Linked DNA regions of Sus scrofa. The protein of the gene in region 1 interacts with the protein of each later gene in a biochemical or structural test. Links are inferred from orthologs where the notes say so. Each region holds a gene or a part of one and is shown on either strand. Other genes may lie near its edges.

Evidence for each region.
Region 2: the proteins of VCP (region 1) and UBE4B form a complex in vitro, tested with the Homo sapiens proteins (2 studies listed by BioGRID and IntAct). The link is inferred for Sus scrofa from reciprocal best matches to the Homo sapiens genes VCP and UBE4B.
Region 3: the proteins of VCP (region 1) and NUB1 form a complex in vitro, tested with the Homo sapiens proteins (2 studies listed by BioGRID). The link is inferred for Sus scrofa from reciprocal best matches to the Homo sapiens genes VCP and NUB1.
Region 4: the proteins of VCP (region 1) and ATXN3 form a complex in vitro, tested with the Homo sapiens proteins (5 studies listed by BioGRID and IntAct, with this or other methods). The link is inferred for Sus scrofa from reciprocal best matches to the Homo sapiens genes VCP and ATXN3.
Region 5: the proteins of VCP (region 1) and HTT form a complex in vitro, tested with the Homo sapiens proteins (3 studies listed by BioGRID). The link is inferred for Sus scrofa from reciprocal best matches to the Homo sapiens genes VCP and HTT.
Region 6: the proteins of VCP (region 1) and NGLY1 form a complex in vitro, tested with the Homo sapiens proteins (2 studies listed by BioGRID). The link is inferred for Sus scrofa from reciprocal best matches to the Homo sapiens genes VCP and NGLY1.

What each region holds. Positions count from the first base shown.
Region 1 is NC_010443.5:235,865,622-235,871,050, reverse strand, and holds the start of VCP (transitional endoplasmic reticulum ATPase), read left to right. Parts: upstream 1-1,338; 5' UTR 1,339-1,615; coding exon of another isoform or gene 1,616-1,632; intron 1,633-1,838; exon of another isoform or gene 1,839-2,205; intron 2,206-5,429. UniProt on the Homo sapiens protein: Necessary for the fragmentation of Golgi stacks during mitosis and for their reassembly after mitosis. Involved in the formation of the transitional endoplasmic reticulum (tER).
Region 2 is NC_010448.4:70,407,848-70,412,691, forward strand, and holds part of UBE4B (ubiquitin conjugation factor E4 B), read left to right. Parts: coding exon 1-145; intron 146-608; coding exon 609-1,004; intron 1,005-1,834; coding exon 1,835-1,984; intron 1,985-4,844. UniProt on the Homo sapiens protein: Ubiquitin-protein ligase that probably functions as an E3 ligase in conjunction with specific E1 and E2 ligases. May also function as an E4 ligase mediating the assembly of polyubiquitin chains on substrates ubiquitinated by another E3 ubiquitin ligase.
Region 3 is NC_010460.4:5,901,397-5,905,698, reverse strand, and holds part of NUB1 (NEDD8 ultimate buster 1), read left to right. Parts: intron 1-2,608; coding exon 2,609-2,755; intron 2,756-3,930; coding exon 3,931-4,026; intron 4,027-4,302. UniProt on the Homo sapiens protein: Specific down-regulator of the NEDD8 conjugation system. Recruits NEDD8, UBD, and their conjugates to the proteasome for degradation. Isoform 1 promotes the degradation of NEDD8 more efficiently than isoform 2.
Region 4 is NC_010449.5:113,638,580-113,643,423, reverse strand, and holds part of ATXN3 (ataxin-3), read left to right. Parts: intron 1-3,958; coding exon 3,959-4,123; intron 4,124-4,637; coding exon 4,638-4,682; intron 4,683-4,844. UniProt on the Homo sapiens protein: Deubiquitinating enzyme involved in protein homeostasis maintenance, transcription, cytoskeleton regulation, myogenesis and degradation of misfolded chaperone substrates.
Region 5 is NC_010450.4:1,920,316-1,925,159, forward strand, and holds part of HTT (huntingtin), read left to right. Parts: intron 1-419; coding exon 420-502; intron 503-1,670; coding exon 1,671-1,798; intron 1,799-1,884; coding exon 1,885-2,014; intron 2,015-4,313; coding exon 4,314-4,469; intron 4,470-4,844.
Region 6 is NC_010455.5:12,674,039-12,679,480, reverse strand, and holds the start of NGLY1 (peptide-N(4)-(N-acetyl-beta-glucosaminyl)asparagine amidase), read left to right. Parts: upstream 1-1,714; 5' UTR 1,715-1,789; coding exon 1,790-1,920; intron 1,921-5,442. UniProt on the Homo sapiens protein: Specifically deglycosylates the denatured form of N-linked glycoproteins in the cytoplasm and assists their proteasome-mediated degradation. Cleaves the beta-aspartyl-glucosamine (GlcNAc) of the glycan and the amide side chain of Asn, converting Asn to Asp.

The DNA.
Region 1 (5,429 bases):
TACTTGAGTGGGAAGGCTCACAGCTGGCTGATTCAGCTGAGTGCGGGTTGTCTAAGATGCCCTCTCCCAATATCATCTATCTTATGATCCTCAGGAGAAAGGGCTACAGGAATCCTTACTCAGGAATCAGTGCCTTTAGTCCTTCTTGCCAAAAAGGCGAGTACCCCTGCAAACCCAGGATCCTAGGTGAGGCGACAGAATGAGTGGAGTTAGGTAGGTCTGGAAGGTGATTCTTAGAAGGAAGGGACAAGCAGACCTCTGAGTCTGTTAGAATGACACCTCACCCCCTCCCTAATCCAAATTTGGGATTCGATGGTCTTAGTCAAATGTGTCTCTATGGTTAGAGGGTAAAGGATGAATTAAGTCACCATACCACCAAAGCTGCCTGTTGAATATAGTCAGGGCAAGCTGGCATTTTGGGTCCAAGGTCATCAAGTCTCAGCAATGTTTTTTTTTTTTTTTTCTTCTGCTTTAGGCTCTATTGAATCTGTTTGTGTTCTGCGGTTGCTATTTTTTTTTCCTTTTTTTTTTTTTTTTGGCCTCGCCCATGGTAGGCATGCGGAAGTTCCTGGTCCGGGGATCGAACCTCTGCCACTGCAGTGACCCAGGCCCCTGCAGTTATAACGTGGGTCATTTAACCTGCGGAGCCACAAGAGAACTACCTGTGGTTGTCTTTTGATTCCTCTTCGGAATTGAGTGTCCTTTGCATAGCTATTAATATTAATACCCAATGGTAAGAAGGAGCACATACCTCCAAGCCCTGCGGAACTATAAAGCTTGTGGGATTAGGATTACCAGAGGGTGTAATGACAACAGGGAAGAGTGGATTAAGAGCTGGAATGCTAGCCAAAGAGTCCGGAGTAGAGGTGGCTGGAGCCAGCGTTTTGAAGGAGCAAGGAGAGGGGTTAGAGTGCATACTCAGGTTTTGGAAGAAAATGGGTGTGTGGGTTATCACTACAAAAGGACTAGACTAATACAAGGGTTCAATCCATTGTGCCAGGTTCTTCTAGCCGGATAAACTCAGGAGCCAATGAACTGGAGCCAAGTGGGAGAGTCAGCCTCCCAGGGTTAAAGGCTCTCCTTTCGCCAGTCGATCTGGCCCCATTCCTTTCGTTGATTGGTCGAGAGTCCCAATCCGTCGAGGAAGCGTAGCGTTGCGGCCAATTGACGTGGCGTTACTAGGCGTGTTGCATCCCTGAGGCGGGAGCCGGGCCGCAAGCGAATTTCCTGATTGGCTCTGGTCCGCGGGTTGCTGGGGAGAGGAGGCACGGAGAGGCGGGCGGGAGTACCCAGGGCAGGCGCTGATTGGCTGAGTTGTGAGCACCTCTCCTTCCGATGATTCGGCTCTTCTCGCCTCAGTCTTCGCAAAGCGTCTGCAGCCGTCGTTTGAGTTGTCGCTGCCGCTGCCCCCTCGCGGATCAGGCGCTAGCGTCCCCCGCCCGCTTACCGCCCTGGTGCCTCTGGGAGGAAGCGAAAGGGAGGCCGTCTGCGGGTTTGTCGTTGCCGCTCACCCTCCGCCCGGGAGAGCCGAGCACCGGCCGAGTCGGTCGCCTGCCACCCTTCGTAGCCGTTACCTGCGGGCCGCCACAGCCGTTGGCCGGGAGAAGCGCGCGCCATGGCCTCCGGAGCTGAGTGAGTGTGTGCGCGCCCCCCGTCCTCCCGCTGCGAGTGCGCGCACTGGGAGATCCCCTGCGTTGGGTAGGCCCGGCCAGGCCTGCTTGTGGGCGCGTCTAGGAGGTGGAGACAGGGAAGGAGGGAGACGGAAGGAGAGGAAGGGGGCGAATGAGGAGCCGCGGACCCCGCTGGGCCCGGCCGCGCACCCGTGCGCCCCCTAGGCGGGGCTTGCTTTGGGCCTGGGTCGGGGCCTGGGCCGGATCGTGCTGTGTCATGCAGGCCCGGGGCGGCCTGATTGGCTCCTCTCGAACGGCTGTCCTGTCCTAGTGAGGTCTGAGGGCCCACGCTGCCGGCACGGAGCCCCGGGGCCTTGGGGTGTCCACCTGCGATCCAGTCTGCCACCCGTTGTAGGCCTTTGGTCCCCGGAGAGTGCAGGCCACTTGGGCCTGACGCCCTAACTGGGCCCGGTGGGCGTGGACTTTGAGCCACGTGAAGGCCTTAGGAGCCGGGAGACCGAGACCGAGGAGGAGGCCGGAGCAGTGCAAGGCCGGGCGAGCTCAGGGGAGCTCCCGACGGCCCTTTTGGATCCGGGTGGGTCTGGCCCGTGGTTGGCATCCTCTACGACCTGAGTAGTGAGAGGCTGTTACCGAGAGGGCGGGCCCTGCCTTTCCCATCTGGCCTTCTTCATACTTTATTATTCCTGTTTTATTCATATGGGAAGGCTATAGTCAGTTTTCAATAATGTTAGGAAGTGGGGTTCATTAGGTTCTTGCTAAAATTCGAATCTCAGTTCGTATTTTGTGGGCCTTTCTAGATTTCAGCCTTTTGTGGTGTGAAGGTTAGAGTTGCCCTAACTTCTCAAACACACACAGCCTTTTACCTATGTGGAGAAATCCTGAGCTCTCTATTCCTCAGGAAAGCATCAGATAAAACCTGGCTACCTCTGCCCATTTTAGAATCAAGAGCTTTAGATACTGGGGGAGTTGGGGTGGGGGAGGAGAACACTGCCATCCTATGGAAACTCTTCTATGCAAAGCACCTTCCAGACTTGAAAGTTCAGTTTTTTGAGGTGTTCCTTTTTTTCAAGTTTCTGAACCGAGGTGAAGTATTTATTACTGAGGCGCCTATTGAAAAGGGCTGCTTATTAATACTTAAAGTACCCTCTTTAGTTTCCAGTACTAAAAGTCGAAAATTCTTAGAACCTGGCATCATAGACAGTTTATCTCTAGGTCATCTTGATGACTCTTAACTGAACTCTGTCCACGCCCCCTGTGGCCCACTGGGGTCCTGGAAGAGGGCCTTGACTCATGCAGGAAACCAGAGGAAGGTCCCCAAAGAGCCTCCAGGACTGTTGTCAGCCCATGATCAAGCTGACTTCCCTTGTTTAGAGGTTACCTCTTTCGATCTCAGGGGACAGATGTAGAATTAAAGGTCTTTACTTTAAGGGCAGAACATATCAGTCATCTCCAGTGCTGGGCTCAGGAGTGGTAGGCAGATTGGAGGTTTTCCTAGAATACAGCTTTGGGGTTAGAATACAAACTCTGATGACCAGAGGCAACTGGTATTTTATTTCTCTAACCCTAATCCTATACATCCAACTGGAAGATGGACAGCCCTTAGAGGGTATTTTGATGCATGGAGGAGAGGGAGAATGGATGGATTTAAATTGCCCTCGACTCTCACATTGACCATGTTTGCTCTCCAGGGTGTTTGTTGATAAGCATTGGAAGAGTATGCCTACTCTGCAGCATTGTGCCTAACACTTTTGCGCTGGGGAGGCAAGTTTAAGCTGAGGAAATGCCACTTTTGGAAACTAGTTTAAAGCAAATGAGTAAAGGGGCAACCTATGTGAGAAGGTCAGCAGAAAGGTTACAATTTTTTTTTAGGTGAATGGGATTTGTATTTCTTTTGAGTGTATCAAGACCAAAAGATGTAAATGCCTCATAATTTCTTACCTGGTATTTTAAAGCATAGGCATCTTTTTTTTCTTGCAATATTTCCAATAGAAATACTGTTTTGTCTTGTTTTGTTGACTGAAAATCCCCAGATCCTAGAACAGTGCCTGACATGTACATATACTTGTTAATTTTTTGAGTGGAATGGTCTCTTTTTTATTTATTATTTCTTTACATCATCCATTGGCTCGCCTCCTTTTGGTTAATGCGCAAGTTTTCCTGAGCCCTACTAAGAAAAGGTAGCTCTTCAAAAGGAGAGCCCTCTGTGACTCGTTATGAAGGTTGGAGATGAGGCAAGTGAGAAATAGGTGTCAGGAGAGTGATCTTAGCTTCTAGGAAATGATAAAAACCATTTAGACAAATTTTATTTATTTATTTTGGCTGTGCTTTTGGCATGTGGACAGGCCAGGGTTCAAACCTGTGCCATAGCAGTGACCCAGACCACTGCAGTGACAACACCAGATCCTTAACCCTCTGTGCTATAAGGGAACTCCTGTTTAGACAATGTAAACTGAGTTCAGACTTAGGCAACCTTCATTTGGGTGAGAGGATTTTGATTTGCCCCATGTCTCACATTTCTTGGTATTGACTTTTTTTTTTTTGTCTTTTTTTTTAGGGCCACGCCCTTGGCATATGAAAGTTCCCAGGCTAGGGGTCAAATGGGAGCTGTAGCCGCTGGCCTGTGCCACAGCCACAGCCACAGCACCACCAGATCCAAGCCACATCTTCAGCCTACACCACAGCTCACGGCAATGCCAGATCCTTAACCCACTGAACAAGGTGAGGGATCAAACCTGTGTCCTCATGGATGCTAGTCAGTTTCATCTCCTCTGAGCCATGACAGGAACTTCTGGTTTTGACTTTTTGAACCAGCTCCATGGAGTTGTGTCTTTTCAAAGATTACCGTGAAACTCCCTTTAAGCTTGAGCTTTGTTCTGGTGAAGATTCTAGATCTGTTAGTGTCAAGTATTTATTTTTTTTCAAATATGATGGTCTTTGTGCTTTGCATTCCTGTGGTAGGTAGAAGGCTCCTGACATTCAGCAGGTTTATCTGGTAAGGAGAGTAGCACTAATAATTTTGCTTTATTGTTCCCGGGCTTGTTTTGTGGGTCTTGGAGCCTATGGGAGGTTGCCTTGCTCACTTTGTTCTATAAGAAGGTTAGCAAAGAAAGAGCTTATGCTGTGTTCTGCAGTGCTAATCATAGTGACCGTTGATACCATATGCATTTTGTTGAGCATTTTGTGTTCATTACACTCTGAGATAGGTACTACTATAGTCCCCATTTTATAGATGAGGACGTCAGCCTCCAAAGAGGTTAAATAAGTTGCCCAAAATCACAGTTAAGCTCTGGCAGGGTTGGGATTCAGACTCAACAAGTCAGACTACAGGGACGCTTCTCTTTTTAATCACCATTCTATGCTGTCTAAGACTATTTTTATTTCTCTAATTATTGCTCAGGCTTCACTTTTTTTTTCCCCCTCTTTTGGCTGCCCGCAGCATATGGAATTCTAGGGCCAGAGATCAGATCTCATCTGCATTTGCCATCTATGCTGCAGCTGCAGCAATGCCAGATCCTTAACATGCTATGCCAGAGATCAAACCTGTGTCCTAGCGCTCCAGAGATGCCACTGATCCCATTGTACCACAGTGGGAACTCTTCAGCCTCCACTTTTACTCTTGTCATCTTAGTTTCCTGACCCTGGGACAAGATCGCCTGGGGCCACGCAGCTAGGATACCAGGAGTGCTCAGAATACTGAGTTGCCGAATGAGGAATTGTAACATAGACTTGATATTCTTCTTGACCTTGGCTGAATTGCTTTTCATCTGAGTTCTTGGTATAGGCATAGCTTCATCTATC
Region 2 (4,844 bases), on another chromosome or scaffold:
TTGCCAGTCTGACAGCCACATCCCAGCCAATCGCAGCGGCAGCTCGGTCACCAGACAGAAATCTCCTGCTCAATGCCGGCTCCAATCCAGGAACGAGCCCCATGTTCTGCAGCGCGGGCTCCTTCGGCGCCAGCTCCTTGTCAAGGTCCGTGTGGCTCGCGCACACCCGAGTGGTGGGAAAATAGCCGTGGAGCATGTGACAGCCAGGAATGTTCATTCCGGGCCCGAGTCCTAGAGACCGTGGCGTGTGTGGTCTTTTCGGGGATGGGTCGACTCTTTGCAGGAGGTGTTGTCTTTTCTAGATTGGTCTCTTTCGCTTTCCTTGGTTAGGCTGTTGGTAAATCAAATTTAGAGATAAATGGCTGTACATAGAATATTATTCCCAGGAAAGAAAGCTCTCTCATATTTTACGTGTAGGTTCTAGATCCGCCCTGCAGTTAGAGCACAGTTATTTAGACAGGTAACTAGAAGATTTGTTTACCTGAATGCTTAGGGATAAGAGGTATAATTATACTATCCTTTAAAAACACAGTATATTCTATTTTAGTTATTTTTCTCAAGTTTTTCTCCGATTTTCTCTTCTTTCCTCCCTCTCTCAACTCATGTAGCCTCTATGAAACTAGTCCAGCCCCCCGCACGAGTTTCTGGAGCTCTGGGCCCATGACGAGTCCGCCTTTGGCCTCCCCTTCCCGGGCAGCCAGCCAGGCAGCCCCAGGTCCTCATGGCGCGGGTGCCGGGGCTCCGGCAGGAAGCCAGTCCCCGTCTCCGCGGTATCGTCCCTACACGGTCACCCACCCCTGGGGGTCTTCTCCCTCTCCTGCCCCGCGCGCCTCGAGCCTCTGCCTTCTGTCCGGCTCCCCAGGCCTCCCCACCCTGGCTAGTAGCCCTCAAGCAGTGCCCGCCGGCTCCTCCGGACCGAGATCCTCCAGTGCGGGGCCGCCTTTGCTGTCCGCCTCCCCCGGTGCTGTGAGCAGACGGCCCGCCTCCTTCAGGAGCTCCCCTAGGTATCTATGCAGCAGGAGAGCCGGGTGTGTGTGTGCACTGCAGGGAAAGGAGGTTAACACGGTTTGGAAGAACTGTCGTGTGACACTGACCTCAGTTCTGTGTGTTTTCTGCTGTGTGTCTAACTTAGTGTGGGAGGCTTGCGCCCCCAGTCCGTGCTCCTGCCAGGCTTTGATAACATCAGGAAGTATGAGTTGTGCTTTGGGGGGGGGGGGCTGTGCCCACAGCATGTGGAAGTTCTGGGCCAGGGATCGAACTCTCACCCCCAGCAGTGACCCCAGCAAGGTCCTTAACCCCTAGGCCACTGGGGAGCTTCTTGGGTTGCTCCATTCTGCACCCCTTCCCTTCATTCCCTCACTCTTCCTGCTTCCTGTGCAAAATAAAAGAAGTAACTTAGTTGTGAAATCTAGGTCACACGTCACTCCTCGTAACACATGCGTCTCAGAGACCGTAGCAGTTTGTGTTTGAGAGTTTGGGGCTCACAGGCCCACGTTTCTGTTTTTGTATTCTTGCCCATCATAGTTGAAATACAGTCAGACCAAGGGCTTGTGGGACCAAATCCCTCACCTCTGGTCACTGGGGCTGGGCCAGTGCTTATGCCTCCACACTTTGTTTTCAGCCCCTTAGAAAGAAGCAGCACGGGAATTCCATTACTCCACCCCCTCCCCCGCCACGTTCCTGTGCGTGTATGTCGTGGAGGTGAATTCGTTTTCTGCATGTCCGTAGGCAAAGCTTTCGCATAAGGTTTAATGAATAGGCCAGCGATTGCAAAGCTTTCCTTCTCTTATTCTGCCTTTGTTCCCTGATGACCTTTTTCCTTTTGTTACGGTAGTATGTACGACACCCCTTTCTCCTTCCTCTTCCTCGCACTTTCTGGGGACAGTAGTGACGAAGATGGAGAAGAAGATGGTGATGGTGCCGATGGTGCTGATGAAGGTGGTGGTGGTGGTGATGAGTTTTCTTGTGTCCCGTTTGGGTCCAGGTATCAGAGGAGTGGAGTCTTACCCTGCATGTGCGTAGGTGCTTAGGAACTAACTTTCATAAGCCCTCATTAGATGTGTGCCTTGCATCCAAACAGGATAGGGTCCAACGAGGTGGCCTGGACCGCTGAGATGTGCCAAACGTGCATGTGTCTAAAACCTCAGGACCTTTTCATGGGGTGAGGTGGTGCACAGGAAAATTTTCGTCGTTGTTTGTTGCCTGGCAAGTTTGGAGGAAAACGTACATCAGATCATTTGTCAAAAACACGAACAACCGTTGAAAGGGCCCTATTAAGTTCGTTCACCGTCAGATCTAAAATGAGAGACCCTTCCTTTATCTGTTGCAGGAGAGTTCTTGCACACTGCCAGATATGGGCAATAGGTAACTCTGGGAGGCATGTTTTCTTATGTTTGGTGGCATGGATGGCTCCTGTTTAGGAATGGCAGAGGGGCTGGGATGTGTGTGTGTGTGTATTCTCAAATGTCTGTCTGTCCATCCCTCTCTGGCTCAGTCTGGACAGTCCATCAAAGAGCACATGGGGTCACTCATACTGTCTGGTGTAACTGTGTTTCTATTTTCACTTTTTTTTCTTTTTAGGGCCGCACCTGTGGCCCATGGAAGTTCCCAGGCTCGGTGTCAAATTGGAGCTGTGGCTGCTGGCCTGCACCACAGCCACAGCAGCATAGGCTCTGAGCCTCGTTGGTGACCACAGCTCGTGGCAACACTGGATCCTTAACCCACTGAGCGAGGCCAGGGATCAAACCTGAATCCTCATGGATACTAGTCGGGTTCATTACCACTGAGCCACAGTGGGAACTCCATCTGCTTTTACTTCTGATATTAAGTTTTGCTAGTCACCTCCTTGGCCTTGGTGAAGCCACACACTTTTTGTCTGGACAGCATGTGAAATAGCAGCAGAGGCCAAGACATAGTTCATGATGTTGCTGAAAGTTCACCCCTGAAAACAGAGTTAAAAAGACAGCTTGGGATTTCTAGGTGACTTTGAGCAAGAAAATATAATAGCACCTTCTTGCTAACCCTCTGACTCATTGTCTTAAAATTTCGCTCTTAAATCAAAGTTTCTTCTGGACCAGTTGGTGTTTGTGCCCAGCGCTATTCAAAAATAACTCCAGGCTATAAATAGACAGCAGTAGGAGTTAGGTACCCTTCATTAAATTTGACAGTGTTCTGAAGAATCATTAGAGAGTACATAAAGCCAGAGGGGAATGTGGGTGCAAGGGTGACTGTTGACTCCGTAAGGTTGATATTTGTATTAGGTTGAAAGTTGTATCACTCTTTCTCAGGTGAATTTCCCAAAGGTTGAAGTGTTTTTTCATGTAGATAAAATCCTGTTCCATGATCATAGAAATGGAGCAGGCATTCGTGTTAGCAGTCGACTTCTATGTATATGATAAAAGTCCTCTGTCGTCTGTTTTACTGTAAATTATCTGTAGGATAAATGCTCTTTCTCCCAGGCCTGTTTAATTCCAATGTTCTCTGACAAAGATATCAGATGGCCTGCTGCTTATTTTTTTTTTTTTTTTTTTTTTTGGCCATGGCCTGTGGTGGCTTGATTTTGTTTTTGTTTTTGTTTTTTGTCTTTTTGCCATTTTCTTGGGCCACTCCTGCAGCATATGGAGGTTCCCAGGCTAGGGGTTGAATCAGAGCTGTAGCTGCCAGCCTACGCCAGAGCCCCAGCAGCTCGGGACCCGAGTCGTGTCGTGTCTGCGACCTACACCACAGCTCACGGCAATGCTGGATCCTTAACCCTCTGAGCAAGGCCAGGCATCAAACCCACAACCTCATGGTTCCTAGTCGGATTTGTTAACCACTGAGCCACAACGGGAACTCCTATGGTGGCTTGATGTTGAATCTCAGTTCCCAGACTAGGGATTGAGTCCCGGCCGCAGCAGTGAACGTGCTGAATCCTAACCACTAGACCACCAGGGAGCTCTCCCCCCACCTTTTTTTGCGTGCTTCTCTTACTAACTCCTTTCTAGACTTCTAACATTCCAGCCTTGCCTCAGATCTAGGTTCCATACCTACAAGGAGAAACAAAACTTACTGATTATGTACTCATAACTGCAAATACTGAGGATCACGTGCTAGGCCTGCTGTCTGATTTCAGCACACATTCTCCGCACCCCCCATCCTCACAGCCCCACCCCTCGTAACTGCCGGGGAGGGGGGTCAGAGGGGGGTTTGGCTCGTGACTAGAACAAGGCAGAGCCCAGAGCTCCCCTGCCTCCCACCACACCGTGCTGCCTCTGCCTTCTCCATTTCTGTCCAGTAGGATTTTGCTGCTGTCATTTGTCACCGGTGATTTCACTGCCCAGAGTCCATGCCTCTACTCTGGTCCTTAGCAAGAAAGTGCCAGCGTTTTAGTCCTTCTTTACAAAATTCCATTCCAGTCAATCGACAGGACCTTTGTGGGCTGTTGAAATGAAACCTGATCTTTCCAGAGTTTAGAAATGATCAATTCTGAGTAGAGGTCAAAAAGAATCTCAAAGGTTAGGGATACACGCAGACCGCGGATGAAGCAAATAGAGAGGAACCTGAGAATGCATGTAGCGGCGACCAGGAAGGAGTCGCAAAAAACATCCTTCTTAATTTGAGTGATCAACAAATGAGTTCTTTCTTTTCCCCTTTCTAATTGATCGTCTCAGGGTTTTATTCACGTTGAAGGAAGGCATTTTAACACCCATTTCTTGTCTGGTAAGATGCGTATCATAGAAGAAGCAAGCAGCAGGGCTTGTCTCAGCCTCTCCTTCTCCTGGCCCAGTGCAGTTGCTGGGGTTGTACATCTTCTGGGCAGTAGCTGGGACACACTCTTCTTATGTCATTTATAGTGGTGATGACAA
Region 3 (4,302 bases), on another chromosome or scaffold:
AAAAAAAAGAAAAGAAAAAGAAAAAAGGAAAAAGAAAAGAAGAAAACAGTGGAGGCATATCAGATGTGCATTTACTGAACTAAGCTGTAAGCTCTTGGAGAAAATAAAAGAAAAACAAAGTGTGTATCGTGCAGTTGGTCCTGCTGGCTCTTCCAGCCAGTGAATGTGTAGTTAGGATGCTTTTGGTGGAAGGAAGGCAACAAGAAGCCCGATTCAAAGGGGCTTAACACCCAGTAAAAAGGGCTGGGGGAGAATTTAGCAGCCTGCCTAATTCTAAGGAGCCCAGAGGCAGGCTAGGTGTCAGGTTAGCCGATTCAGTAGCTTTGCCCCGTCACTGGTTTCTGTCTCTCAGCCTCCTCTGTATTAGTGGTGTCACCCCCTCACACCAAGAGCAGGGTCTGGGTCCCAGCATCCTCAGACTCCTGAGCCGTCCACTCATTGGCCATCCTTGGGCCAGTTGCTGTGGCCAGGGGACTATGCCAAGACCTGAGTGGCAAGCCTGGCTCCTTAGCGTAGGCTGGTCAGGGCCTCCTCGGGGAGCTGGTAGGCCGCCCACACCCTTGGGGCAGCTGGGGTGTCCCATAGGACGTGAGCTCCATGGACCTGCTCCTCCCAGATCCTGCAGAGCGGAGGGTAACATGTCATTGCAGGAAGTTGGTCTTTTTTGTACATCGTGACCCTGAGTACAGGACAGTTTCTCATCTGGCAAATGAAACTGGGGTCCCTTACGGCGCTGAAGGGTTGAGGGGCCCTGAGGGGCAGCGTGGCCGGTTCCTAAGAGGTGTTCACCCCTCAACACGCCCATGCAGCTGAGCTCCCTGAGTTTAGAACCCAGTTCTCCACTGTGTCCACAGACAGTTGAGTGTCATTCTCTTTGTCATTTCTTTGGTTTATTTGCGTAATTCTTTCTGGTATAAAGAGAAATATCAGAACATACTTGAGTTTCATCTTGTGTATCTCCATGATTACAAGATAACTGAGTCGTAATTAAGGAGAAAGCGTTATTTGAGGCTGACTTTGTGTCGGCTCTGAGTTAGATGATGCCCAAGCCCCATGGCTGCTGGCTGGCCGGCAGCAGCGTCCTCTCTGCTTGCATGTCCCTCGTGTCCCTTATTTAGCCTCTTGAAATATGCACGGAAGAAGCTGAGATTGAAATCAGGGTGGGGTGGAGTCTTTTACACGAGGTGTATGTGTGTATAAAAGCCTGAGCTCGAGCGATACAGAGTGAGGTTGCTGGCCTGTGTGGGTTTGTGGTGGAGCAGGTAAGGGTCAGCCCAGAGGACAGCCTGGAGGAGGTGGAGCCCCGAATAGGGACACAAGGACCAGCGCGAGACTGGGTCTGGAGGGGTCTCTGTGGGTTTTGGTCTGGGTGAGATGAGGAAGCCTGTGCTGCAGGGGTGGAGTGGTGGAGACAGGCCGCGAGGAGGCAGGCAGTTGTAGGTCGTGCTGGGGGCACAGACAGACAAGGAGCCGGATGAAGGGGGGATGGCAGAGCCGCCGTGCCACCCTTTGTCCAGGCTGCTCACAGTAGCGTCTCCAGTGCTGTCAACAGGAAATTACGGTCTGAGGTCGTAATTGGAGAGGTTGGGGCATCGTCCCCTCTGCCGTGTCCTACTGCCTCCGGGGATGTTGGGGTCCTCGGTGAGGATTCCGTTCTTCTCCGGGAGCCGAGGCCGTTTTCTTGCTGTAAAGTGTTGAGGGGGCCCTTGTGGCCTGGGCTGAGCCACGGCCGTGGCAGCAGGTACGTCCAAGAGGAGGCTCTTCTCTCTCTGCTCCCTGTCCTGGGGGGGACTGGCCATCTCTAGGAGGCGGAAGCCCTCGTCCCAGCCCCGCTGTCGGCCATGACCTTGACCAGGTCACTTAAATGTCCTGAGAGATTTCTGTCTTCTCATTGGCAAGATGAGGAGGTTGGATTCCATTAGTGGTTTTTGAACTTTAGTTTTTTGTTTTTTCTTAAGCAGCGAAAATCCTTTTAAAATGACACTTGTTTTCAAAACCAAATCAGAATTTTCCTGCCGAGGGCGGGGGCGGGGAGAGACTGCAGCTTCTGCAGCCTCACTCACTGCTGCAGCAACACAGGCGCCTCTGAGACTTGGGGCCGAGAACCATGGGGGTTTGACAGCCTTTGTCCCTGGACCTTGAACATTCTGGGGGTTTTAATTAAATGGGCCGGCAGGCCCTAGACGGCCCCTCAGTTCTTGCTCCTGGGAGACTGGAAGGCGTGGAGGGGGATCGGCGGCCCTGGCGCCGTGCGGACCGTGCCCACCCCGTCCAGGGCCCCGCATCCAGAGTCACGTTTCAGCAGGATCCCGCTGCCTCACTGGAGGCTGGGAGGCTCCCCCCGCAACCCCCGGCCCCCTGAAGCTGCATCTGCGTCTCGGGGCCACACGGGTGTGCTCACTGGCTCCACAGCCTGTCCTGGTGGTGGTGGTGGTGACGGGGAGGGGTCTCTGCCCTCGGGGCCCTGACGCCGCTGACGGCCTGGGCGGGACCGGTGGAGAGAAGGGCGCCTCTCCTGGCTTCCACTTGGCTCGGCGGCCACGAGGCCTGCAGAGCCCGGCTTGCTTCTCCACCGCCACCCCTCGGTGACTGTGCCGTCTCCCCGAAGGAACTGGCCCAGATCAGGAAGGAAGAAAAGGAGAAGAAGCGGCGCCGCCTGGAGAACGTCAACTGTCTGAAAGGGATGGGCTACTCCGCTCACGCGGCCAGGCAGGCGCTGCACCAGGCCGCCGGCAACCTGGAGGAGGCCCTCAAGGTAACGCCCCGCCGCCCCTTCCCGCCGGCACCCCCGCCTCGTGCCTGCCTGCCGGGGTCTCAGGGCCCGAGCTCCTTGTTGGTCGACCCAGTTGTGGAGCCAGATGCACAGGACCTGTGCACAGGGAGGCGGAGCTGGCGGCGGGGCTCCTCTTGCACCACGGGCTTCGCAGTAGCTTGAAAGAAAAGGTGATTGAAGTTGTTTTGAATTAACTTTGACTCGATTGAAGTTATGCTTTTTTGAATTAAAATGCTTTGAGTATCCAGCTCTATCATTTTAGTCAGTAGTACACTTGGTGAAGGGCTTTATAAAGAAATCCCCTGGGGTTCCCGCTGTGGCTCGGTTTTCCAGTGGTGGTGAGTACGATGTAGACCTGCTCGCGCTGCAGGCACGGAGCAGCTGGGGGTCCAGAGCACCCCGAGTCCGTTCTGTGTGGATTTCCCCACGAGATGAGGATTAGCGCCTCCACCCTCAGGTTGTGCAGGGGCAACTGAATTTAATACAGAAGTGTCATGTGAATTTCTAGTTTGATTGGAAGAAATTAAAAAAAGCAAAAAATTCTGAGTATGTGGAGGGACTGATGAGCCTCAAAAATGGCTTTTAATTATATAAATAGCACATAAATACATTTGACCAATATAGAAGGACTTAGTGTTAAAAGGGAAATTCCTCAACGAGCTTTTATGAGATCACGCGTCATGCGACAGTTCAGAGGTCAAGGGTCCAGAGAACTCTGGTGTCCTTGACGTTTGAAATCCAGAGCTGGTCACCTCCCAAGAGACATTACGTTGGGCCGCCTGCACGCAGCCAGCTCTCTGCATTCTGGTCACAGCCTTTTGGGACCTTGTCACCCCAGAGGCTGAGTTCCAGCAAACCCTCTGCTCTCCTGGAGCCCTTCTCCGCCCGCTCTAGGGACTCTGTTCCTCCTCCCTCGGGCGACCTTTGTGTCTGGATGGTCTTGTTCGTCTTCCAGACCTCAACTTGGACATGACCTTGGCCGCAGCAGCTGCCCCAGCCCCAGCCTTTTCTCTGCTTCCGCAGCGCCCTGGGCCTGGGTCACCGCCATGTCCCCACCCTTCTCTGCCTGTCCTCTGGCGGGTCTGCCCCCACATCACATACACAGGCGCCACTCAGCAGCTGGTTGTGATGTGTGACGGGTGATCCTCTGTTTCTAGATTCTTATCAGTAACCCTCAGCTGTGGTGGTTAAATGATTCCGATCCTGAAACCAACAGCCACCAAGAAAGTCCTTCTCAGGAAAACATCGACCAAGTAAGTGGAAGTGCGGTGTGTCCCCTCTGCCTGCACAGCCTGTGGAGTGGGGGCTGGCCAGGGGGGACAGCTTGGTGGCGGGACAGGGCCGCGTCCTTGGCTCCCCGGGCCGCGGGTGTGAGCTGCACGCCGAGGGGCAGCCTGGCCTTCAGAGGAGATGCTGAGCAGCCCCGGGTCTCCGGCAGCTCTTCTCTCAGGCCGGCGTCTGCGGCGACGGCGCTTTATGTCACCCTCGCCTCCCCCACGGCCCCTTCTCCTTGCTCTGCCCGGGTCTCG
Region 4 (4,844 bases), on another chromosome or scaffold:
GAGAGAGGCCCAAGAAGTGGCAAAAAGACAAAAATAAATAAACAGTTTTTCTGTAAATATTTTAGACTTTGCCAGTCATTTATGTTCTCACATGTTTGTATGTGTGTGTTTTCCCAATCATCTTAAAGTGTTAAACCCATTCATAGGGGCAGACTAAATTTGACCCAAAGGCTAGAGTTTTCCAGTTCCTAAATTAAACCCCAATGCTCAATGGCCACCAACTGCCCGGGGGTTTGGTTTGGTTTGGGTTTTTTTTTAAGTTCTGGTGCCTGCTTTCTGTCATTTTTATATCACATCTCTTGCTGACTGCTCTTGGTGAGGTGACTATGCCGTCTGAATCAGTACTTTTATGTGTTTACAACTGAGAACGATAACCAAACTTGTTGGTGGTTTTTTTTGGGGGGGGGAGTTTCCCAGGCTAGGGGTCTAATCGGAGCTGTAGCCACCAGTCTACACCACAGCCACAGTAACGCCAGATCCTTGACCTGCTGAGCAAGGCCAGGGATTGAACCCGCAACCTCATGGTTCCTCGTCAGATTCGTTTCCACTGTGCCATGACGGGAACTCCCGGGATTATATTTAAAATTAGTGAAAATACTGGAAAAATGTTGAGCATTGACTTTATGACAATATGTTTGTGTGTGTGTGTGTGTGTGTGTGTGTGTGTGTGTGTGTGTGTGTGTGATTGCTGGTTCTTAACTATCTTTAGGATATTTGAAGTTTAGAAATCACCACGTTCCAATAAGTGACTTGGGGAAGTGGTAATAGTACAGACTTGAAACCTCTGCCTGGGTTTGAATCCCAGCTCCGCCATTTACTACCTGTGTCATCCTGGGCAAGTTACTCGTTATCTCTGTGCTCCAGTTTCCTCCTGTGCCTTTGCGGATAATGAAGTGTCTGCCTCAGCCTTATGAGTGCTTAGAATGCTACCTGGCACATGGTGCTGGAGAAGCGCTGGCTTGTTGTTATTCAGATGCTCGTGTTCGCCGAACCTCATAAGAAGAGGTGAGACCTTACTCTTACTAAGGTGAGATGAAGTGCTGCTGGGTTGATTGCATGGCCCAGGTTAGGCCATTTCTGAGCGCATCTTTGGGTTTATGCATGGTTTCTGTTGTAGACAGTTGTGTCTCTTGGAATTTGAACTCGTTTCAGGTTGGTCCTCAAGACTTTGGTGACAGTGAGGGAATGATTTGGTTGCAGTTACCCTTTGTGAATTTGTAAGATATCTTGGTAAAGCTGAAGACGCAGTTCGTGCATCCTGTGATTCCAACACAAGTCTGGGCGTGAGACCATTGCATTTCAATACCACTGAACTTTGACTATAGCAAAGTGAACGTCGATCCAGTTTTGGTTAAAGCTTGATGAGAAAAAGGTGGCTGGGGATAGTTGGGAGGTGGGGTGGGCAGGGAAATGAATACTCTTAGATGGACCCATTTTACAATGGGTCCGTGTAGAATTTGACTCATTTGGGGCTTTAAAAAAATGATTTCCTTTAGGTGTGGAGTTCCTGTTGTGGCGCAGTGGTTAACGAATCCGACTAGGAACCATGAGGTTGCAGGTTTGGTCCCTGCCCTTGCTCAGTGGGTTAAGGATCCGGCGTTGCCGTGAGCTGTAGTGTAGGTTGCAGATGCTGCTCGGATCCCGCGTTGCTGTGGCTCTGGCGTAGGCCAGTGGCTATAGCTCCAATTCGACCCCTAGCCTGGGAACCTCCATATGCCGTGGGAGCGGCCCAAGAAATAGCAAAAAGACAAAAAAAAAAAAAAAAAGATTTTCTTTAGGCGTTTCCACTGTTGCACAGTGGGTTAATGATCCAGCTTGTCTCTGTGGAGGTGCCGGTTTGATCCTGGCCCCGCACAGTGGGTTAAAGATGCAGCATTGTTGCTGCATCTGCCGTGTAGGTCACAGCTCTGGCTCAGACACAGTCCCCGTTCTGGGAATTTCCATATGCTGCAGGGGCAGCCAAAACAGAAAAAAGTTATTTTTTTCCCCAATTTTAACTGAGTAATTTGTTCTTTCTTTCTGTTAAATCATATTAGAAGTACAGAACTTTATTATTTTCTGAAGCAATACAGTTTTCCTTAGATAAGATTTGATTTCAAGTGCTTTTTCAAAAAAAATTTTATTGAAGTATGGTTGACTTAGAAAGTTTGTTAGTTTCAGGTGTACAGCACAGTAAATCAGTTATACACACACACATTTTTATCAATTATTTTTCAGAATCTTATAAAGGGCATCTGTTATCCCCTCAGTTCACACTGAATTATTCAATGGGAGTTGCTTTATTCAACCAACACGTTGTATTATTCAGTGGCAGTAGGAAAGGAAGGAAAAAGAGCTGGAGACAGTCCTCTCTTACCATCGTGGCTGTGACTTAAGGGATAGATGTTGTCTTCTTTGGTATCAAGCTACTTATTCCCCATTGAAACATGGAGATAAACTTGTCTCAGCCCCCCTGCCTTACACTGCATTCCTAGTCCGTTAAGTCCACATATCCTGTGTCTTTTTCTGCAGCTGAATTTTGTTCCTAGAGCATGAACTCAGGGAGGAGATGTGTCCTGCAGGTGTTGGTCTTTGGGGTCAGATAACTCGGCACAGACTGCAGGATGTCAGGCAGACTGAGTGAGGGAATAGACTTTATTGGGGAAGTGGAGAACCTTGAGGTCCAGGGTTAGCAGCAGAAGAAGATCTCTTCTCTGCCATCATCTCCCTGAGGGGACCAGTCCAGGCTGGGTTCACAGGGAAGGAGGGGTCTCATGCGCCTGTGGGTCTCCCTTGTCATTGGGAAACAGGAAAGCAGCATTGTTGTGGGAGAGGGGTGATAAGCAGGCTGCTTAGTTGGAGGCAACCTGGATTTAGGTTTGGGGTGCCAGCCAGTTGCAGGAGAAAGCCAGATGCCCAGCACCTAAAGACCCTGGGGTCCCTGGGAAGTTGTATTCTCCCCACGCCCCTAACAGGAAGCCAGTGATCTCTTGGGAGCTGAACTTGGATGCAGCCACCTTGCTGGCTTGTCCAGAAGTGAGCTCAGGGGGTGGTTCTCCTCTTTGCACAACACTGTGTAAATTATCCTTGAAGTTCCTTGCAGAGAATCTCGGCTCTGTAGCTACAAGTCTTTTTGTCTTTTCTAGGGTCTCACTCAAGGCAAAAGGAGGTTCCCAGGTTAGGGGTCCAGTCGGAGCTGTAGCCACCAGCCTACACCACAGCCACAGCCACAGCAACTCGGGATCCCAGCCACATCTGCGACCTACACCACAGCTCACGGCAGCACCGGATCCTTAACCCACTGAGTGAGGCCCGGGATCGAACCCGCAACCTCATGGTTCCTAGTCGGATTCGTTAACCACTGAGCCACAGTGGGAACTCCCATAGCTACAAGTCTTCATAAACATCAAACAGAATTTTTCTTACTGTACCAATTCTTGAGATTCTTCATGTGTTCATGAATTTGAAATTCTATGAACGCGCATTTAGATGGAGTAAAGATTATCTCGTTAAAAGAACAAATGTTCTTGGCACAGCATTGTAAATCAACTATACTTTAAAAAGACAGGAAGGACAAATGTTCTAGGGATTAAAGTTTCCTTTCAACATTAGTAATTTACCATGGAATTGCTAAAAATGCATTTGCTCTAGCCACTGAAAATGATGGAGGCTAAATGTTAATGCTAGGGTTTTTAGTAAAATAGGAGATTTGGTGTCTTTAATAGATAATGTTTACTTAATATAAATCATTCTTAAGTTTTCGATCATATAGCTAAGTAATTGTAATTTCGTTAAGGGCAGAATTTTAAAATAAATGTTAACAAAATGCATGTACCTGTGTTAATCATGCTTGTCTGAAGCTAAAACCGTACAGTTGGGCTGGGTTAAGAAGTTAATGGTTAAATTTCTCTTGAGGGGAAAGTGCTATACAAATCTGTTTAACAAATCACATTTGAATTTTTTCTTTCGGAAATAATAGCAAGAAGGCTCGCTTTGTGCTCAACATTGCTTGAATAACCTATTGCAAGGAGAGTACTTCAGCCCTGTGGAATTATCTTCAATTGCACACCAGCTCGATGAGGAAGAGAGGATGAGAATGGCAGAAGGAGGGGTTACTAGTGAGGACTATCGCACATTTTTACAGGTACTGACTGTAAACTCACTAAATCACATTTTTTTTGTTGGGACTTTTTGGTGTTTTTTTTTTTTTTTTTTGGCTTTTTTAGCTATTTCTTGGGCCGCTCCCTCAGCATATGGAGGTTCCCAGGCTAGGGGTCGAATCGGAGCTGTAGCCACCAGCCTACGCCAGAGCCACAGCAACGCGGGATCCGAGCTGCGTCTGCAACCTACACCACAGCTCACGGCAACGCCGGATCCTTGACCCACTGAGCAAGGGCGGGGACCAAACCTGCAACCTCATGGTTCCTAGTCGGATTCGTTAACCACTGCGCCACGACGGGAACTCCAATGGGTGCTCTTTAGAAAAGGATGAACCAGTTCTCCTATGGGGATCTGACTTGTTAATTACAACTTGGCTCTCGACTTTGTAGACGGGAATGAACGGGATGTTATTTTAAATATGCACCCTAATGGCACTTTATTCTTCTCTCCCCACCCTCAACCTCCCCCCCACCTAACAACCGATCCGAATTAAACAGCAGCCTTCTGGAAATATGGACGACAGCGGCTTCTTCTCTATACAAGTGAGTACTCACAGGCATGTACGAAGTGGAGTTTATGTCCCAGGCACTGTCAAAGCTCCGGGTATGTGTCCCTGTAACGATGTGACCTTAAGAAGCGCCTCCAATAGACTGTGTCTAAGAGTGCAAGACTGTCCTCTTGTAGAGTACTAGATTTTTATGGAG
Region 5 (4,844 bases), on another chromosome or scaffold:
AGGGGGTGGCGACGGCCTTTCCGCAGAGCTGGGTGACGCCCTGCAGGAGGCAGCGCGCAGGCCCGGTGGCCCAGGGTGTGGCAGGTGGCGAAGTGTGGGCTGGTGGGGAAGGAGGGCTGAGGGGCAGCGGCCTACATGGCTGGACAGTCCAGGCCCTGAGGCAGGGTCCCAGGAGGGCCTGGCCGCACGGCTGTCACCCGGGCACCCAGAGGGCTCGCTTGCTGGGTTGTCGCCTCGTCTTTAGCCGTCTCAGCTCGGCCCACAGGCGTTCCCGTTCAGAGTCTGCAGCTGGTTTGTTTCGGAGAAAGAATGATTTGGCGTGGCCCCGCTGGCCCCACCAGCTCAGTGGCTTGTCAAGTGGCAGAAACGCCAGAGCCGTCGGGCCACGCAGGTGGCACTCATGCACTCTTGCCCCGCAGGTGCCCTCATCAGCCACGACAGACTCCTGCTGCAGGTCAACCCCGAGCGGGAGCTGGGGGACACCAGCTACCAGCTGGGCCAGGTCAGTCGCCCCGCCCTCGTCTCTGCCGTCCGTCCTCCGCCTGGCCCCCCAGCGCCCTGGAGAGAAGGCGGGTGCGGTTTGTAAAGAGAAGGAAGCTTGACGCGTGTGTTTTTACCTAATCTTCCGTCTTCCAAGAAGGGCTTGAGGTCCTGTCAGAACAGGTGTGAGTCGGTCCTGGCGAGGGCGGGGAGACGCTGGAGGACCGGGCTGCAGGCTCGGCCCCGTGCGTCCCGGCCGCCTGCCCCGAGGGAGGTGCGATCACGCGGCCCAGGGTGGCGGACGCTGCACTCGGCCCGTGCACCTCAGCCTCCTGGTTGGAAGGTGGGCGGGCAGGTACCTGCGCTACTCAGGCTGCGCGCTGCCTCGCGGCCTGCTGCTGCTGTACTGAGAAGGCGGGCGTGCGGGCCCGCTTCCTTTGTAGCTATTTCAGCAGACCTTGGTCGGGATAAGACGGGGTGCTCGGGGTTCCGTGGTTTTGGTGGAGCAGGCTGTGCGCCAGGGCCCTGGGGCTCTGCATCCACATCGGCCGCTGAAGGCAGTGGGGCTGCACTGGGTGGCTCTGAACCCAGGTCCTGAGCCACCACCGGCTTTGGGGCCAAAAAGCCACTCTCCCTTGGCCTGAAGGCTGCTTTGGGGGCAGAGTTGACCTCCAGCCTGGGGCTGCCCGCCGCCAGCTCCAGTGCAGGGTGGGGTTGGGGCAGTGCAGGGCACCAGGGCAGGGCTCGGTCCCACCTGGCGCCGCCCCCAGCGGGCCTCCCCGCAGGCTCCCAAGTTCGTCCCCACCTTGCCCCCCAGGTTAATAAGCACCTCACCCTTCTGCACCTGTAGCAAGTGATTCAGAAAAGGGGGTCCCCAAACGACTACCAGGGAGAGAACCAGTTTTGAAGAGAAACCCTGTGTTCCGATTCCATTTTCTGCTGAGACGCCCTTGGGGAGTCGCTCAGGAGCAGAAGCGTCCTGTCTCCGGACTCCTCCCCTCCTCGGCTGCTCCCTTGGGTTTGGCTGGCCCTCATTCTGGCTCTGCAGTCCTGAAGGTGGCGCCCTCCAGCGTGCCCGCCCCCGGCCGTGCAGAGTCCCGTGGGTCTGAGCCCTGCCGGGTGGGGGGTCTGCTGCCCCTGAACCCCCGGCCGCCGGCCCGAGGGTTGAGCCCGACTCGTGTCCCTTGCAGGTGTCCATCCACTCCGTGTGGCTGGGGAACAGCATCACGCCCCTGCGGGAGGAGGAGTGGGATGAGGAGGAGGAGGAGGAGGCGGACGTCCCCGTGCCATCCCCGCCCACGTCGCCGCTCAACTCCAGGTTCCCGTCTGCCTTTGGTCGAGAGCAGCTGGAAGCGCGCTGGCGGCAGGCGGCTGCAGTGACCTCTGTCTGTGCTCGGGTTGCAGGAAGCACCGCGCTGGCGTTGACATCCACTCCTGCTCGCAGTTTCTGCTCGAGCTCTACAGTCGCTGGATCCTGCCGTCCAGCGCGGCCAGGAGGACCCCCGTCATCCTCATCAGCGAAGTGGTCCGATCCGTGAGTTCGCCTCCCGCCCCGCGCGGCAGCGCCCCAGGTGCCCGTCCCCGGGTTCCGAGCCCGCGAGGGAGCGGTTTTCGCATGTCCAGCCCCTGGCGGGCTGGGCTCTGGTAAGGCCGGTGGGGCTGTCGTGGCAGCGGCTCGACACAGCACTCACGTGTCACGATGTGTCGCTCACACGGCAGCGTCACGTTCCTGTGAGGCCTGAGGCGCACCGTCCTTGTCCACCTCTCCCCGGGCCCGGCTCCGTCCCGTGACCAGCAGTCCCCCTGAGAAGCGCCCATTCGGAGCAGGTGTTCTCCAGCTCTTGGCCTGGGGGTCCTGTCCGTTCTCGACACGGCTGGGGACCCCAGAGAGCACTGATTTCCGGAGGTGGTACCCAGCCGTACTTGTCGTATCGGACGTTGCCTCTTCCGCGCAGGCGTCTCTGCGTCACCTGGGTCAGCGGTCCAGCAGGGAGAGGCACCTGTCCGCGGGACCCTCTGCGTTGTCTGTGCAGCACAGGGTCCATAGTGTTTTCACCCAAGAGATGTCGCTTTCTGGTGACGGCAGACTCTTTTTAGCCTGCTTTTCTCGGGGTTCTCATGTGGCACACTGGGTTAAGGATCCGGTGTTACCACGTAGTGGCTGGGGCTGCTGCTGGGGCGTGGGTTCGATTGCTGGCCAGGGAGCTTGCACATGTCATGGGCGTGGCCAAAAAGACCAAAAGCCTATTTTTCTCTGTACTCCTTTGAAAGTTTCTAAATTGTCTCATATTTGGTCAAGTTGGGATTTTTAAGAACCTAATTTTCAATTTATAACGTAAGTAGTTATAAATTGATTTTTTTTTTTTTTCAAAAAGTCAACTGTAGGCACTGCTAAAGATCTTAAATTTTTTTTCTCTTTTGATTGCCACATCCGTGGCACGTGGAAGTTCCCACACTGCAGTCACAGCAATACCAGGTCCGAGGCGCATCTGCGACACACACCACAGTTTTCAGCAACGCTGGTGGATCCTTAACTCGCTGAGCGAGACCAGGGTTTGAACCCGCGTCCTCATAGACAATGGTCCTTAACCTGCCCAGCCACAGCAAGAACGCTTTAAGTTTTAAAAAAGTTCCCTACCTATCCATTTAAAATAACAGTAATGATACCAATTTCTGTTTAAAAATGATTTTTTTAAACAGTGAGAAGAGCCTTATTTTGTTCTTTTGCAAGCTCTGGTGTCTGGCTCCTTAGGTAGAAACCACCGGGCTTCTCGTGCCTGCTCTGCTCTCCCTCTAACATCAGGTCGCTCTAGACCGCGCCGCTGTGCAGTCGGGGAAACCCGGGAAAGAACGGCAAGGGGGCCTTAGCGTTTCTATAAAAACCGTCTCCACCCGTGACCCCCAGAGGCCCGCAGGCATCCACGGGTCCCATCCCCGTAAGAACTGCTCTTCTGGACAGTTTGCTGAGTCTGTTCAGCTCACCCCTGGCCTCAGAGGAAGCGCCAAGCCCAGCCTTGACACACGCTCCCAAAGAACGGGCCTTCCTGCCCCCTCAGGGCTCATTTTCAGATAGGATGCGAAAAACAACATTTTTGGGAAACAAGAATCATTGCCAAAGCATTGATTTCTGAAGCAATCACCCATTTCTCTATTTGGGGGCTTTTGGGAGCCTGTCCTCTCGGCTGCTGGGACCTTTGTGGGGCTGCTGTGGGTGCTTGTTCCCGCGCAGGCCGCAGAGTGCATGGGCTTGCGGGGAGCGCAGTTCCACGCTGGTCTTTGTGTTCTGTTTTTTCTTTCTGGGGCTGCACCTGTGGCATATGGAAGCTCCCGACCTAGGGGTTGAATTGGAGCTTCAGCTGCCAGCCTGCAGCACAGCCACAGCAACTCGGAATCCTTAACGCACTGAGTGGGGCCAGGGAGTGAACCTGCATCCTCACAGACAGTATGTTGGGTCCTTAACCTACTGAGCCACAGTGGAAAGTCGTCGTCTTCTTCTTTTTTTTTTTTTAATGAGAGTCACTTCACAATTTGTGTTAGTTTCAGGTGTACAGCAGAGTGATTCAGTTATACACACGTGGGTGTGTATGTATTCCTTTTCAGATTCTTTTCCCTTGTAGGTTATTGTAAGACATGGAATGTAGTTCCCTGTGCTCTGTAGTGGGTCCTCGTGGGTTATCAGTTCTGCACACAGCACTGTGTATCTGATCATTTACCCTCCCTACGGCCCTTTAAGATGCCAGTTCTCCTGGCCAGGCCTCCTGCGAAGCCACTTGGACCACGTGGTGTGCTTCCTGGCGGCGTGACTCGCCCCTCTGCCCCGTGTCCATCTCCAGCTTCTGGTGGTCTCTGACTTGTTCACGGAGCGCAGCCAGTTTGAGATGATGTATCTGACGCTGACGGAGCTGCGGCGGGCGCACCCCCCAGAGGACGAGATTCTCCTCCAGTACCTGGTGCCCGCCACCTGCAAGGCGGCCGCCGTCCTCGGCATGGTAAGCCGGAGGGTGCGGGCCTCTCGGGGCAGATGTGGGCAGTCGGCTGAGTGCGTGGCGCCAGTGCCTCCAGCTGGGCTCCTGGACCCCTGGTTCTGTCGTGTCCCTGTCCCCAAAGAGGCTGGGCTGCACGGGTGGTGGGGCATGTGGCCGACTCCTGCACAGTCAGCCCTTCCAGTTGTGCTGGGGGCCCCATGCTGCCCGGCTGGCAGATCCGCCCCTGTGGTGACCTTGTACCTGTGCCCCCCCCCCCAGATACTGAGGTCTGTTGTCTGTTCTGAGTGGGGCCGGGGTGGGGGGGGCGGCAGGCAGGCCTTCTTCTGAGCCCCTCCTCCTGAGTGTGCCTCTCTAGCTGATCAGAACTCATCCCTCTAT
Region 6 (5,442 bases), on another chromosome or scaffold:
ACCACTGCGCCACGACGGGAACTCCTTTTTGGTCTTTTTTTTTTTTTTTTTGGCATGGATTTTTTTCAATAGTAAATACTACAGTACTACAAGGTCCACCGTTGGTTGAATCCAGATTGGAAACCACAGATACAGAGGAACCTCATATGTGTATAGAGAACTGTGCAAAGGGTTGGTGCCACTAATATCACACTTGTTCAAGGGTAAACTGTACTGCCTACAGTTCCACAATTGCAGAGGCAGAGTTAAATAATTGAAAAAGAGACCCTATGGCCACAAAGCCTTAAACATTTATTATCTGACACTTAATAGAAAATGTTCATTGACCTCTATTCTACAGAGTCACTGAAAATTTATTTATAGGAATTAGCAACACACTGTCAGTTAAATACACTATTCTTGGAAGCTGGTCCAAAAACCTACATATTTATTAAGAACTTCTCACATATATCTGGCAAATGAATGGTAACTGAAGTGGGAGATATGGTTCAGGGTCTTGCTCAGAGATATTGGAAGAAAATTCCAAATTTAAAAATCAAACTGAAGGTAAAGCATCAAGAACATTTAAAGAAGGTGCTTAAGCATACATCTCAAAAATATAATGTCAAAAAAAGCATTTGCTGAGATTTGGAAAGAAATTTCTGCAAAGAAAGAAGCCATTGGTAAAGTATACTTTCAAGGGCATGGTGAGGTAGAGGGTGGATTAAATTGTTTAGGCTTCATCTTCTAAGAGGAATAAAGGACGCTGATCTACTGGCAAAACAAAGCCACAAATTGATACATACCCTTACAATATAGGATGCATGATTTTGCTGTCTTTCCTTTCCCCTCCATTCTATTTTGTCCTTATTGAGTATGTGTTTTATTTTGGTCGATAGAGTTTTCAACCCACTAGGCTGCAATCTGCAGTTTTGAAAATCACTTCTTTACAGTGGCATCGTCCTATCTGAGCTGGGACTTAGGCAAGAAATTTTCAATCATTTATTTCTTTAGAAAAAAAAAATCCATACAGGAAGAACCCAGCATAGTTTATGGCCATGCGTTTGGTCATGAACATGGTTAGCTGCTTCCTTCTGGGGTCGTTCATCCACATTTATTTAGCAAGGCCTGACAATCGGCGAGGAGGAAGCTCTAAGACAGTTTCATTGGGGAAAGGGGGGTTTCCCCACCTTCCTGGCCGGATCAATTGAGGATGGCCCGCGGGGGGTGGGGCGCAGAGGTACCTGGGTTTCTGCTATGCAAAAGCCAGCACCCGCCAGCCCTGGCCCTAGCTTCCCGCTCCTCCCCACCAGCCCTTCCAACCCCACCCCGCGGCCCCTCCCAGCAGACACCCGTGGCCAAAGCCCCTGGACCAGGACGACCAGGACCCCGCCGTCTTCTGGTCGAAGTTCCTGGGCCCTGACGACCTGGCCCCTCATGGTCCAAACCCCTGACACTCCCCAGACAACCCCCAGCCCACCCAGCCGAGCTCCCCCGTCCTTCCTAGAAAAGCTCGGTCCCCCACCCTGCCCGAGGGTAGCCCCCGCCTCCCCGCCGATCCCCTCTCCAGGCCAACCGCCCCCCGCCCCGCCCTGGAGACCAGCCCCCGCCCTCCGGCCGAGCCCCCGCCCTCCGGCCGAGCCCCCGCCCTCCGGCCGAGCCCCCGCCCTCCGGCCGAGCCCCCGCCCTCCGGCCGAGCCCCCGCCCTCCGGCCGAGCCCCCGCCCTCCCGCTCTCCTCCGACGCGCGGCCGCGGAGGCGCCTGCTCAGTGCGGACCCGGCGTGGGGGGCGGCGGCCGCGGCGCTCAGGCATGGCGGCGGCAGCGCTGGGCAGCTCCTCCGGGTCCGCTTCCCCGGCCGTGGCCGAGCTCTGCCAGAACACCCCGGAGACCTTCCTGGAGGCCTCCAAGCTGTTGCTCACCTACGCGGATAACATCCTCAGGTGCGAGGCAGCGGGCGGGGCACCTGCTCGGTCTGGGTCTCGGGGGGCCCGGCCGGCCCTGGTGGGGTGAGGCCGGGATGGGCGCGGCCGGCCCAAGCCCAGCCGGAATGGGCGTCGGGCTGTCTCGCTGCTCCTGGGACCTGACACCCGCTATCGGGGAGCGGGTAGGACTGGGTCCCGGTTGGGGCGAGGGGAAGGGGCGCCCGGGCGGTGGTCTCGGGTCCGGCGTTGAACCGTCTTCGTTTCGGGACAGAAGCGGTAACAGGGTTTCATTGACACTGCGAGAATTTTACCCAGCAGGTGCTTTCAGTTGCCACACGCTTTTCAGAAGTTACGGACGAAATTTTCCTGCCCAGCGTTTTGTGAATATCCCAGCAGTAAAGCATAGTACTACTGTAGTATTAGCGAAGATACCCTTGGCGAAAAGTAGTTTGTTTCATTTTCCTGGGAACACTAGCATACTTCTAGATCTCTGAGCGACTTTACAGATTTGGGGAACTGGGAAATAAGCTTATTATTCATTTTGAATCATCACCTCCCTCACCTCTTAGATCAAATAATGTGTCTTGAGGGACTTGATGTGGGGAGGGAAGCGGAGCCCGGGTTAAAGGAGCACCAGGTGCCAGGTACTTGAGTGGTGTCACCTCGTTTATCATCAGTTCACCGTGATTACATGGGCTCTTGGTGCCCCCCTCGCCCCTGGTGCGCTGACTCTTCTAAGCGGTAGCTATATTGGCTTGAAGTCTAAAAGGAAATCCTTCTCAATTTCAAGGTTATAGATTTCACTGGACGCAGTTTTAGAGCCATTCGTTACAAGTGCAGTGTTTTAACCTATGGCAGTTATAATAGCGTTTGTATAGGTAACAATGATTTTAAAATGAATTGAAGGAAAAACATTGAGCCCTTATGTGCCAGATATTTTGAGGGTTGCAGTGTACACAGTGCACATGGCTGCACAATTGTGACCTATGTGGGGACTGCTTTCCTCTTCTGTGACACCTTCTCCTATCACCTTCTCTTCCCTGGGAGGTCTCACAGCTCTTCAGAGTGCAAGGATGCTGGAGGACTCTGCTTGAATGAACTCTCAGGCTGAGTTCTCCAGAGCCAGGACCTCCCACCTGGAAAGCCACCAAACTATTTAAACCTAACTATTCAGAAAAGGGAGGTGGCCTTGTAATGAGGATTCAGTTCTGCCTTCAGTCCAGTGAAACCACAAGTGATGAGATCAAGGTGTTTTGAGGACGGAAATCCTTTGCATTATAATCATTATGAATGTTTACCAAACTAAGAAAAAGCGAGGCATGCTGTCAATTCAGGTCACAGTCTTTATATGGCTTATGTTTCTTGAAAGGTTTTTATCTAAAAAGGGAATTAGTCTGGAACTCATATAAGTGGAGATGGTATAAAAAACTACCCTTTCTAAGTTTGTCTTAGGTAAGAGTATTAAATCCTGCCCTCATATTCTTATAATTCAAACTCCTTCGGTCTTCAGAGGGGAGAAGCAGCCACCTTTTCTTTCCCTTCCAAGTCCAGTGACTTGCTTGTCTCTTAAGAGAAAAACCCTGGATCACTTTTGACCCCTTAGCCACACTGCATTACAGGTATGCTAATCTAACTTATTTGAGAGTAGAGAAAAACCACAATTTTCTGTTTCATTTGCTGTTTTGGGAAATTTATTAGTGTTAAAGATAAGGGACTGTACAAGAGATTGTAGTCTTGAAATCACTTGCTCCTACCTCAAGATCTGACATAGTGTTTATAGGATGAGAGTTTCATGGGCAGTTTTTTGTTTTGTCTTGTTTTGTTTTTTAACAGCAACGTTCCTCACTATACACAGGTGAAAATAATACTTTGGGTTAAGTTAAATTTCTGCTCCAGGTGTTTATTTCTGTTCCACAACTAAGAGTCACAAAGCTAATGAAATTGCTGACTGAAGTGTATACTAATGTGCATGCCCAATGTGCTATGGTTTGAACCATTTTTTTCAGTTCATTAACTTATAGATAAAAGTGAATATCTACTTCAGTATCTGCTTTTTAAAAGTCTATAATGATTTTACTGGCCTTTTACATGGGTTCCCTAGAAAATGTGCTCTGTTCATTTAAAAAAAAAAAAATTTGGAGTTCCCGTCGTGGCGCAGTGGTTAACGAATCCAACTAGGAACCATGAGGTTGCAGGTTCGGTCCCTGCCCCTGCTCAGTGGGTTAAGGATCCGGCGTTGCCGTGAGCTGTGGTGTAGGTTGCAGACGCGGCTCGGATCCCGCGTGGCTGTGGCTCTGGCGTAGGCCGGTGGCTACAGCTCCGATTGGACCCCTAGCCTGGGAACCTCCATATGCCGCGGGAGCGGCCCAAGAAATAGCAAAAAGATAAAAAAAAAAAAAAAAAAAAAAAAATTTGATGGGCGTTCCCTCATGGCTTATCGGGTTAAGGATTGGGTTAAAGATCTGGCATTGTCACTTTTGTGGCTCAGGTTCCATCCCTGGCCTGAGAACTTCTGCATGCCTAGGATGCAACCAAAAAAAAAAATTTTTTTTTCCGATTTCCCACTAATTTCCTTTGCAAATTGCACACGATTAACTGGTTACAAATTGTGCTGGGTGTGATTGGGAGGAGCCAGGAATGGAAAGTGGTTTCTTCCTTTAAAGAAAATAAATATGCTTGGGAGAGGGAAACTGCATAAAATCTAGAGAACAATTCCAAGATGACGTTTAAGCACTTACATGTTTACTTGAGATGATAGCAGGGGGGCCTAATGAGAAGATTTCAGAACAAAGGTTTGATAAGAGAACATGTGTTTGACATGATAGGTAAGAGCGAGCATTTGTTAGTTTCTAGACTCAAAAAAAAGCATAGGGTTTCATGTATAATAATGATATAAGAAGATTTGAGGCGTGGAATTCATTTCTGAAGCTATTGCAGTTAGCACAAGCCTAGCTGTTCATGGAATGGAGAGAGGATAGGAATTGGCATGGATTGGCAGTTCTTGAATACTGAATGCCAAGAGTTGGTAATGGGAGGAGAGAATAACTCCCACACTGCTCACCTGGGTTACTACTAACACCTGGAGAAATTGAGAGGTTGTTAACTGAGAATGGGTGAGTTTGTTGGCCTCTTGTATGGTGCAGTGTATGTAAGCTTTGTTTTCAAACCAAGGGGGTTAAATCCCAGTCAGCCATTCCTAAGAACGTGATTATAGGTGATTTAGGTAAACGTTCTGGGCTTCAGTTTCCTCGTTTTTAAAACAAAAGAACAATGCCTACATTACAAGATTGTTGCAAAAGATAGTGATAAATAAAGGACATGGCACATGTGTTATTTGTTACTCTTCCTCAGTTTTTCTTGTTAAACTAGACTGTGTACAGGTTTCCCTTGTTGTCAGCTACAGAGAGTGGTAGAGTTAGGGCCAGAGATGGTTCCCAGATGGTTCTAAAGGCAGATAGATGTTTTTCAGGTTTTTACATGTCAGAATAACAAACCTTTAAAAGGACCAGAAATAGTTTTTCAAATGACCTGCAAACCAAC